Linked DNA regions of Mus musculus: region 2 is reported to be linked to region 1. Evidence: microRNA targets listed by miRTarBase, many of them from high-throughput screens and not tested one by one. Region 1 holds a microRNA gene; the other region holds the end of a gene's coding sequence.
Evidence for each region. Region 1 holds the annotated microRNA mmu-miR-465b-3p (GAUCAGGGCCUUUCUAAGUAGA, at 3,619-3,640, shown strand). A microRNA usually pairs through its seed, bases 2 to 8, with sites in the 3' UTR of a target mRNA and lowers its output. Matches are read on the target gene's strand: a 7mer-m8 pairs with bases 2 to 8, a 7mer-A1 pairs with bases 2 to 7 and ends in A, and an 8mer does both.

Region 1 (5,388 bases):
CTAATGATCCAACTAGATATAAACAGTTCATCACTGCATGTTTCACTTGGTGGTGAAAGGTGTAAAGTTGAGAGCATGGTTTTCCCCATTATTTAGTGACTCTATTTTGATTTCTCATATATATTAAAAGAAACTTCTATAGTAGAAGGATTCTGTATGACCCTTTACTTGGCCCTTAATGGCTATAATTAGAGGTTTGATCAAGCTAAGAAGACTGTTTATGAATGTGTGAACATTTCATTACAGGCTTTGTATGCAATGCCCTATTTAGAATGGCGCTGATCTGATGAATAAAAAAAAAATGATCAGGGCCTTTCTAAGTAGAGTAAGGCTTACCAACTTCTACGTTTAATATGACTCGTAGATGAATATTCAGAGTATCTATAAGTACATGTAAAGTGCCTTCTGTAATTATGGATGAGCTTGCACATATCCACGTTCTTGTTTTTCTACTTCTATTTATGTATTTATTTATATTTTATTTATTTATCTATTTATCTATTTATCTATTTATTTATTTATTTATTTATTTATTTATTCTTTCCTCATGTATGACATCCAGACTCTAGTTTACTTCTTTCTATACACCTCATAGCCCCTGCCCTACACTTCCCCTGTCCACCAAATCTACTTCTCTTCTCCATTTCCCTTCACAAGAGATCAAGCCTTCATATTTGCTCTACAGTAGATAATATTCATCTAGAAATACATCCATTTCTTTTAGGTTTCATTCTTTTTTTCTTTTTAAAATTTTATTAGATATTTTCCTTATTTACATTTCATATGCTATCCCAAAAGTTCCCTATACTCTCCTTGCACCCTGATCCTCTACCCACCAACTCCCACTTCGTAGCCCTGGCATTCCCCTGTACTGGGGCATATAAAGTTTGCACGACTTAGAGGTCTCTTTTCCCAATGATGGCCAATTAGGCCATCTTCTGCTACATGTGAGCTCTGGAGATACTGGATAGTTCATATTGTTATTCTATCTATAGTGTATGCTCCACTATGTTCATAGCCTCCTTATTTATTATAGCCAGTAGCTGGAAAGAACCCAGATGTCTCCCAACAGAGGAATGGATTCAGAAAATATGGTACTTTTATACACTGGAGTACTATTCAGCTATTAAAAACAATGAGTTTATGAAATTCTTGGTCAAGTGGATGTATCTTCAGGATATCATTCTTAGTGAGGTAACCGAAATACAAAAGATGTCATTAGATATGTACTCACTGATGAGGGGATATTAGCCTATAAACTTAAAATACTCAATATACAATTTGGAAAACACAAGAAAATCAAGAAGGGGGAAGATAGGTGAATACGTCTTTAAGGTTTCTTATGTAATAAAATACAAGGTTTTTAGATACTCCAAGATTTCCTGTTTTTACCACTCTCTATACTGTTTTTTAATTATATTTTATTATATATTTCCTTTATTTAAATTTCAAATGTTTTCCCATTTACCAATTTCCCCCCTATCCCATCTATACTCCTCCTGCTTCTGTGAGGGTGTTACCTCACCCACCCACTTTCTCCCACTTTCCTGCCCTGGTATTCACAAACATTTGGGGTATCAAGCCTTCACAGTACCAAAGGCCTCTTCTCACATTGATTCTCAAAAAGGCTGTCCTCTGCTACATATGCAGGTGGAGCCATGGGTCTCTCCATGTGTACTCTTGCTAGGTAGTTTAGTCCATAGCAGGTATGGGGTTCAGGTTGGTTGATACTGTTGTTCTTCATATAGGTTGCAAACCCCTTCATCTCCTTCAGTACTTGCTCTAACTCCTCTATTGGGGACCCTGTGAACAGTCCCAAGTCTTTTCTAGGAGTATGACAAAGTCTCTAGGATATGATGGGACATGTTGGGGCAGTACAAAACAGTTAACTTATGTGACTTAGATCTTTTCAGGACTTCTTTGTCTGAAGTAAATCTCACTCATACAATGTTTGTGGTGATATAATTTGGTTAAAACTTCAACATGTGAGAGATAAACCTTTTTGATAGCAGGATGCATTGTAACTGTCTGGACATCAATGTAACTTAGGGTGTATTCACCACAAAATTGTTCATCATAAATGTACAGGTTAGAAAACAAAGGTAATATTTAAAAGCAAATAAGCCAAACTTACTAATTGTAGTAAAGTAGACAAAAAAAAAAAGAAAATAGTAGTCAACATATTGCTTTGTTACAGAGATGAGTATTCATTTAAAGAAAAAACATGAGTAAATGTACATTCAGGGAGAATTTTGATAGATAGTGAGAGAATTTCCTAAGTAGAACAGGATGAAAGCTAGTACTTTATGTATGTTATATTATGTTTATTTATGTTATAATTACCGTTGAAAGTATGGGGAAGGGTAAAGATACGTGAAATCAGCACTATATACCAGGCTATAGTCTTGATTTGTTTCAGTCCTATAAACACATGAAGAACAAATCTTTGTGTAAAAACAAGAATCATCATGCCCTGAAATTGTGCTCTGGGTGTAAATGGCAGTATATATGCAGTTACTATCTACCCAGGAACATTAGAACACTAATTTTATGTACAATAGGGGGAATAGGTACCAAATTTATTGATGACTATTTCATACTTTAGTGTTAAAACAGGTAGGGAATCTGGGCAAAGGCATAAGTTTAAAATATATTTTGGTTTCTTTTCTAGAGTTTATAAGTAGAGGACAGTTAATAAGTTCTAAACTCTATGGAGTACAGTGATAAAATTACTAAGAGTGATGGATCTAGCTGAGGCAATACTGACTTGGAATTGTCCTGTATTTGTTCAAATTCTCTCATTCTCTGCATCCTGCCCAATTCTGGGTCTGTGTTTTTCCATCCACTAGCTTATTATGGCTGATCAAGACACTGGTATGCGTATAGGAGAACATCCTTAGGAGTCATTTAATTGTACATTTAGAAGAAAAATAGAACATGCGTTTCTTTCCTAGGCCCATGACTTAGATTCTTGACCCCAGGATATGGGTTCCATCTTGTACAGCAGGCCTTAAACCCATTGAGAGATTAATTAGTTACTTGCATTGCATTTGTGCCACTATTTCACCAGTACAGCATGTAGGCAAATCACCATGTAGAGCACATGGTTTGTAGTTGTGTTGATGGTTACATTTATCCTCTGGTATCATTCAGAGTAACTTTCAGTACCATGAATGCTGATTAGTAGAGGTGCTGATTCTACAGGTACCACTCTGACTTCCTTGTTCAATAATATCACCTTATGAAGAGTTTTTGCAATTTACAAAATATTTACAATAGCCTAAGTTGTTTGCTGGAGGAAACCATTTGGTTAATGATCCAACTAGATATAAACAGTTCATCATTGCATGTTTCACTTGATGGTGAAAGTTGTAATGTGGAGAGCATGGTTTCCCTATTATTTAGTGACTTTGTTTTGATTCCTCATATGTGTATATATATTAAAAGAAACTTCTATAGTAGTAGGATTCTGTATGACCCTTTACTTGGCCCTTAACGGCTATGATTAGAGGTTTGATGAAGCTAACAAGACTGTTTATGAATGTTTGAACATCTCCTTAAAGGCTTTGTATGCAATGCCCTATTTAGAATGGTGCTGATCTGATGAAATAAAAAATTGATCAGGGCCTTTCTAAGTAGAGTAAGGCTTACCAACTATACATTTAATATGACTTGTAGATGAATGTTCAGAATATCTGTAGGTACATGTAATGTGCCTTCTGTAATTATAGGTGAGCTTCCACATGGCCACATTCTTTTTTTTTTTACTTCTATTTATTTATTTATTTATTTATTTATTTATTTATTTATTTATTCTTTCCTCATGTATTACATCCAGACGTTATCTTACTTCTTTCTACACACCTCATAGCCCCTGCCCTACACTTCCCCTGTCCACCAGATCTAATTCTCTCCTCCATTTCTCTTCACAAGAGATCAAGCCTTCATATTTGCTCTACAGTAGATAATATTTGTCTAGAAATACATCCATTTATTTTAGGTTTCATTCTTTTTTTTAATTTTATGAGATATTTTCCTCATTTACATTTCAAATGCTATTCCAAAAGTTCCCTATACTCTCCTTGTACCCTGATCTTCTATCTACCAACTCTCACATCTTAGCCTTGGCGTTCCCCTGTACTGGGGCATATAAAGTTTGCAAGACCTAGAGGTCTCTCTTCCCAATGATGCCCAACTAGGCCATCTTCTGCTACATATGAGCTCTGGGGATACTGCTTAGTTCATATTGTTGTTCTACCTATAGGGTATGGTCCACTATGTTCATAGCCGCCTTATTACAATAGCCAGAAGGTGGAAAGAACCCAGATGTCTCCCAACAGAGGAATGGATACCGAAAATGTGATACATTTATACACTGGAGTACTACTCAGCTAATAAAAACAATGAGATTATGAAATTCATGGGCAAATGGATGTATCTGGAGGATATCATCCTTAGTGAAGTAACCCAATCATGACAGAAGTGGTTAGTTATGCACTCACTGAGCATCGGATAATAGCCCATAAGCTTAGTATACTCAATTTGTAAAACACAAGAAGAGGGAAGACCAACTGGTGAATACTTCTTTAAGGTTTCTAATGTAATTAAATAGAAGGTTTTAACATAGTCCATGTTTTCCTGAATTTCACCACTCTCTGTTCTGTATTTTATTTTATTAGGTATTTTCTTTATTTACATTTCAAATATTTTGCCATTTACCCATTTCCATCCTATCCCATCTAACCTCCTCCTGCTTCTGTGAGGGTGTTACCTCACCCACCCCCTTACTCGCACTTTCTTGCCCTAGTATTCACCTACATTTGGGATATCAAGCCTTCACAGTACCAAAGGCCTCTCCTCAGATTGATTCCCAACAAGGCTGTCCTCTGCTACATATGCAGGTGGAGCCATGGGTCCCTCCATGTGTACTCTTGGTAGGTTGTTTAGTCCATAGCAGGTATGGGGTTCAGGTTGGTTGATACTGTTGTTCTTCATATAGGTTGCAAACCCCTTCATCTCCTTCATTACTTGCTCTAACTCCTCTATTGGGGACCCTGTGAACAGTCCCAAGTCTTTTCTAGGAGTATGACAAAGTCTCTAGGATATGATGGGACATGTTCGGGCAGTACAAAACAGTTAACTTATGTGACTTAGATCTTTTCCAGGACTTCTTTGTCTGAAGTAAATCTCACTCATACAATGTTTGTGGTGATATAATTTGGTTAAAACTTCAACATGTGAGAGATAAACCTTTTTGATAGCAGGATGCATGGTAACTGTCTTGATATCAATGTAACTTCGGGTGTATTCACCAGAGAATTGTTTATTGTAAAATGTACAGGTTAGAAAACAAATGTAAATAGTAAAAGCAAATAAGCCAAATATAAT
Region 2 (5,388 bases), not on the chromosome of region 1:
CTAGTGATGGGCTGTTATAGGAGAGTGTGTGGCTGACCTGGGGACTGATGAGACCACATCTCCCCACAGGAGTTCCTATAAAAGTGCCTGGGAATGGCCAGATAACCTTGGCTGTCACTGAACTGGTAATTCTCTGGAAAGCCTTCTATAGGCAGATGTCCTACCAGGGAAATGGGGACCAGATGTACTCAAGATCTCAAAAGAAATTAATGGCAGTGAGACTCTGCGGTAAAAATATCTGTGTGCTTGCTCACTGGGCTTGTTCACGCAGCTCCTGTTCTATCTAAGGATCATTTAGGCTTAATTATAGAGTTCAGGCATTCATTGGGTTTTTGATTAATTTTCTTTTCAGCCTGGAAAGTGTGTGTGTGTGTGTGTGTGTGTGTGTGTGTGTGTGTGTGTGTGTGTGTGTGTTTTAGGTCTTTGTCTATGTGTGTACGTGTGTGTATGTGTGTGTGTTTATCTCTCTCTTTTTTTTTTTCAACTCAGTTGGGAGCTGACTCTATCAATGTTTAATTGTGCCCTCTGCTCTTAACAAGAACAGTCAATGTGCCAAGAAGGCCTTGGAAAGCCATTGTTTCCACGGCCTCCACCCCATGGGTTGCTCCTGTGTGCGCATTGAGGGACTGCGGGTGGCAGGGCAGTGCTCAGCTGGGACCTCAGCTGTAGGATGCATGCTTCCTGCCTGTCTTTGTACTTGTGGTGTTTAAGGGATTCAGAGACCAGGGGAACAGCTTTCTTACTCCATTAATTACAAATGACAGCCACCTCCCCCACACCACCGTCCCTGACAGGCATTTTTCTGGGCCAACCTCCCTGGGGATTACAAGGTTCTTTGAGGAAGAAAACAGCTTTCAGTCTCTCATTTTTAATGACTCCACTTGGTAGGCAGGGGAGGACTACATGATTGTGCCAGGTGACAGTGACTTGCTTTCCTCCTTTTCTTTCTTCTCTTTTGTGCTAAGGGGTAAACTAAGGGCCAGCATGATACAGAGGCAGAACATGAGGGTTTAAGCCAAAAGGCCCAGTTTGAATCCTGGCTCTTGGCATTTTTCTGTCTGTGTGCCTGTGGATATTCCATTTAACCTCTTTGGTCTTGATTTGCTATTTGTAAAATGGAGACAATAACACCACAACCACCACTGTACGACACTTCTTATAAGATTTCCTGTGGACGAGAAAATGTATGTGCAAGCCTTTTGTAAAATCTTTTATGAAGCATTGCTGTTTTATTTTACTATGCAGAATTGTTTCTTAGACCATGACTTTGGCCTTTGAGGTATTCGTTGGGGGAGTGATGGAGGAGGATCCAAAATGATTCATTGTATGGATGGCAGAAAGGGGACTAGCTTCCAGCCTCCCCTGTCTTGTGGGCCGTAACAAGGACTTGAGGATGTGGTAGGCATGCAGCGGAGAACAAAGATCAAGGGTTCAATATCAAAACAGCTGTCACAGATAGAAAGCAGTCTGAAATAGTCATTGTTTTTGACATTATAACAAAAGGGGTCTGGACCCAATTGTTTTTAATTTCTAGGCTAATTGATTTGTGGGTGAATGACTCCAGGACAATGACAATGTTTCTGGCTGGAAACAAGGGAGGACCCCAGGTCCCAGGTAGTGTGCCTGTATTGTAAGCTGAGATCTGGGAGACTCAGGCCTTTTCGTGGCATGTGCTGATGAGATATGTGATCCTGAATAGATGACCTAATTTAAATGGGCCTCAATTTCCTTGGAGATCATAGACTGGAAGATCTCAAAGGTGACCTCATTTTAGAACTTAAGATCTGGTGGAAGGCTCTTTCAAATACAGGAATTTAAAAACCTTATACCACTAAGAAACCATGTACATAAATGGGATCCAAATATAGTTTGGAGACAACCCAACTAATATCAAAGGCTCATAATGAGCCCCTTTGAAACTGATGTTGTCTGCTGTCAGATCATGCATTCTCAAGGGAATACAGGTTAATCTTCCCACCAGAGACCTCAAGGTTAATTCTGTCCTACAAGAGATCCTTTTTGCTTGACAATGTCCTGACTAAACTAAAAGTCAATGATCCACAGATAGTGAAAAAAGGGGCCATCTCCTTGTAAAACAATGATAATTTTAACATAATTGGCTATTGGGCAATTGAGTGTTCTGGCAGGTTGATTTCAGAAGTGAGAGACCCAACGGTAGGGTTTGCAGAAGAGACACACAACAACGGTAAAGCACATTTGCATAGTTTAGCTTTTAGGAGTCCCTTCTCATATATTTTTTTCCTCAATTTTTATTACCTCATTCTCCAGGAAACTGCCTTGGGGTAATTTATTTTAAAAATCTGAATTGATTCTTTTTAAGGAAGAATAAGTCTAGGTAAGCATACTGCACCTTGCTTTTAACTATAGACAAGGCTTTGAAAAGCTATATTATATGTAAATATAAGTGTGTGAGTCATATCTTAACGTGCTAGGAACATTTAAAGACTGAAACCTTCCATAGAATTTTTAATATAAACTTATTCATCTGTTCTTACAATTTTAGATGTAAAAAAAAATCAGATTTTCTTAAAGTGGGGCTACATGGCTTAGATTCCAAGATCAGCATCCATTGACCCAAATCTCATAAAAATGGCATCTGATTCAATGTGAGGGAGAGACTGCTGCTTCTGATGTTAGCATGGAAAATAAGCAACTTTACTCTTCAATCTGTAGGTCTCTGAGGTCAGCTGCCATTAAAAAGTAGGGAAGCATGGGAAAGCCAAGTTAGGAGCTGACTTATTTCCAGAGTCTTTGCCACTCACCGATGTTACCAATGCACCATTAATGTGTTGCTGTAACTAACTTGCCATCAGTAACTAATCTAGGTGAAAGAAGCCAATGGTTGGAATGTGAAGTTAGTGCTATATTGCTCTGAGTAGCATCCTTTGGGATCAGAGCATGAAGGAAATTAGACTACAGTGCATGGGAAACAAGAGTAATGAGAAAGGTTTGCATTCTCTGTCCCCAAACTCTGGAAGATTTGGAGTCAATGACAGGATTTGTATAATGGCCCTGAACTTGGAAATCTCTCACCTCTGAAATTAGGCTTAAAAAAAATCTACTTACTCAGTATACACCATTGTGAGACTTCTGTAGTCAGTTTACACGAGTTGTTTCTCAACAAGAAAGGATGCACCTCACAATCGGCACCGCTGAGAATAACAGGGGAAGCTCTTCAGTGAGGGTGGGGCGGGGCATGGTGACTTAGGTGGAAAGGGTTGGAAATCTTACCACTGTAAACACTGGAAACTCTTTAAAAAGTTTTGCACTGCTGGACTAAAGGGAAATTGCTTCTCATCTTTATTGGCTGGATCTCAGCAACCCAAGATTGCTTAAGGCTCAGACGTTCACTAAAGAAGTCTGAACATTTCTTATCTACAACTGGACAAGCAGTTGACGTTGAATTTTTGTAAGTATAGCTGAAGTTAACCTATGTGGGCATACAGTGTGTGTACTATTTGTGCTTAAAGGCCATGAATGAATATTCAGGCACTATCGGCAAGACTAGTTGTTATTCTTTCTAAATCCTGGTGTGTGAGCACCCGGGTGTGTGCACAGATGTGTGCCCTTCCTGTGTCTGAACAATTCAGAAACTCAATATTGAGAATGTTGTTCTCATTGGTTGAGACATTCCCTACACCCTACATGAACACGAGGCTTATACATCTTTGTGAATTGAGGGCTGGCGATAAGAATCAGTGGCTGTAAACAAAGTCACAGATTGAGTGACTAAAAACTCAAGAGAGACCCAACACCATAATCACTACAGAAAACAGGAACTGTATATCCAATACCGTAACTAGCAACACTTAGAATGAGCAATCTCTTTGGAAAGAGGCGAGTGAGTGGATGCGAGCAGCCAGTCTCCACTGGGGGCTGCTGACGTCAGCACCTCGGACAGTTCCAAAACAGCTTTTCCCTCAAAGGGCACAACAGAGTTTTGTTTTCTAAGTGTCCCTCTCATTCCAGGGGGTGTGTTGACAATCTGACCACCAGCTAACACTTGTCATTAAACTGTAGTAACACCTTCTTTTCCTCTCTCCCCAGAACCCAGGATCTTTCACCCAATTCCCCAGCACCCTCCAGTCACACAAGGAGACTGTCTTACGAACACCTGGTGTGGATGTTTTCACTCTCGCTTCTAATTGGTTGGGAAGCAGCATCTGCCACAGGCACCGTTTAGTTTCATTTCCATCCCCTGCGTCTCACAGGAAAGAAATGGTCAATAGTTCAAATAAAAGAATCGTCCTGGTCAGCTCCAAAATATGGCTACTTGCACGGTAATCAGAGCAAGTCTATCAAATCAGTGGTTTCTTTATTCCTAAGAGGAAGGGGCTTTTCCTAAGGGTTATGGTTCTACCGCCCAAGGAACAGCTGTACTCATCACAAGTAGCTGCAAAGGCTGGCACACCAAGAGGGTCTGCTTTGGCTCAGAAACTCAGTTTGGCTCCTGCCACCCCTGGTCACCCCACTGCGGGTCTCAGTGGCATGTGTTCCACACACAGTTGGGCAGTCTGCTTTTACTTAGGAGGTATCACAACCAGAGGTGGTCCCCGCTTGGGCCTCCACATGAGGACCTGGGCATCGTTGGCATTGGGCTTCACTAGTGCGTTAGGGGGGATGGGCTCCATCCGGCTCAGGATCCGGGGCTGCTCCTGCTGAGTCCTGCCCACTAGCCGGGCCCGCTGCCCCAACAGCTGAAGAGGGTCCACTTCAATGTCCACTCTCATCCTCCATTTGATGGTCTGCAGTATGATCTTTTCCTTGGTGGTGGTGTTCATGGCCACCAGCCATGTGGTAAAACTTTGGTCCCTCTTGATCCTTGTGAGCAGTGGCACATTGCTGTCACTCACTGGCACTGCCCATGTCACGCTGGGGTAGAAGTTATCATTCATGCTGACGGAGAACCTGGAGATCTTGTTGGTGGGGCCAACCAGGGTCACAGTCTCTGTCGTGTTCCCGTACCATGGGTAGCTCACCCCGTCTGAGTCACTGATGGCTTTTACTCTCCCTTCCCTCAAGTCAGGCAGTTCCCAGCTTGACCTGGAAAAGCAGAAGGGATACACGAGAAAAGAAGAGACTCAATGAAATTTTTATAAGCTGGAGACGTGCCCACCACTTACTAAGACAGTCAAATTGGGCAAAATGGGAAGTTTGGAGGGAGGAGGCAGGTTGGGGTCAAAAGTTCTATGCTGAGTTGTATCAGGATTAAATGAGAGAAGAAAAAAAAACAATCAAAGTGACATTTGAAAAAAAAAGCAATGCCAATGGAAAAGAAGCCCAAGGAGATAGTGGTGAGGCCATGTATAGCTGCCAAATCATTGCGACAATGGCAATGAACAGTGTAGAGGTGACCTGTGAATGTGT

Region 2: miRTarBase lists Fam78b as a target of mmu-miR-465b-3p. The part of its 3' UTR that is shown has no 7-base or 8-base seed match.

Annotation. Positions count from the first base shown.
Region 1 is chrX:66,827,464-66,832,851 of GRCm38, reverse strand. Mir465b-1 (microRNA 465b-1) reads left to right here and starts at 3,572; the gene lies at 3,572-3,650. Mir465c-2 (microRNA 465c-2) reads left to right here and starts at 255; the gene lies at 255-335.
Region 2 is chr1:167,078,213-167,083,600 of GRCm38, reverse strand. It overlaps Fam78b (family with sequence similarity 78, member B), which reads right to left. Exons shown (of 3, transcript NM_175461.4): 2 at 4,134-5,064. The coding sequence ends at 4,542. Gm33610 (a long non-coding RNA gene) reads left to right here. Exons shown (of 5, transcript XR_865715.3): 5 at 4,069-4,149. Among named protein-coding and RNA genes, the nearest start is that of Gm33610, 24 kb to the left of the region's middle.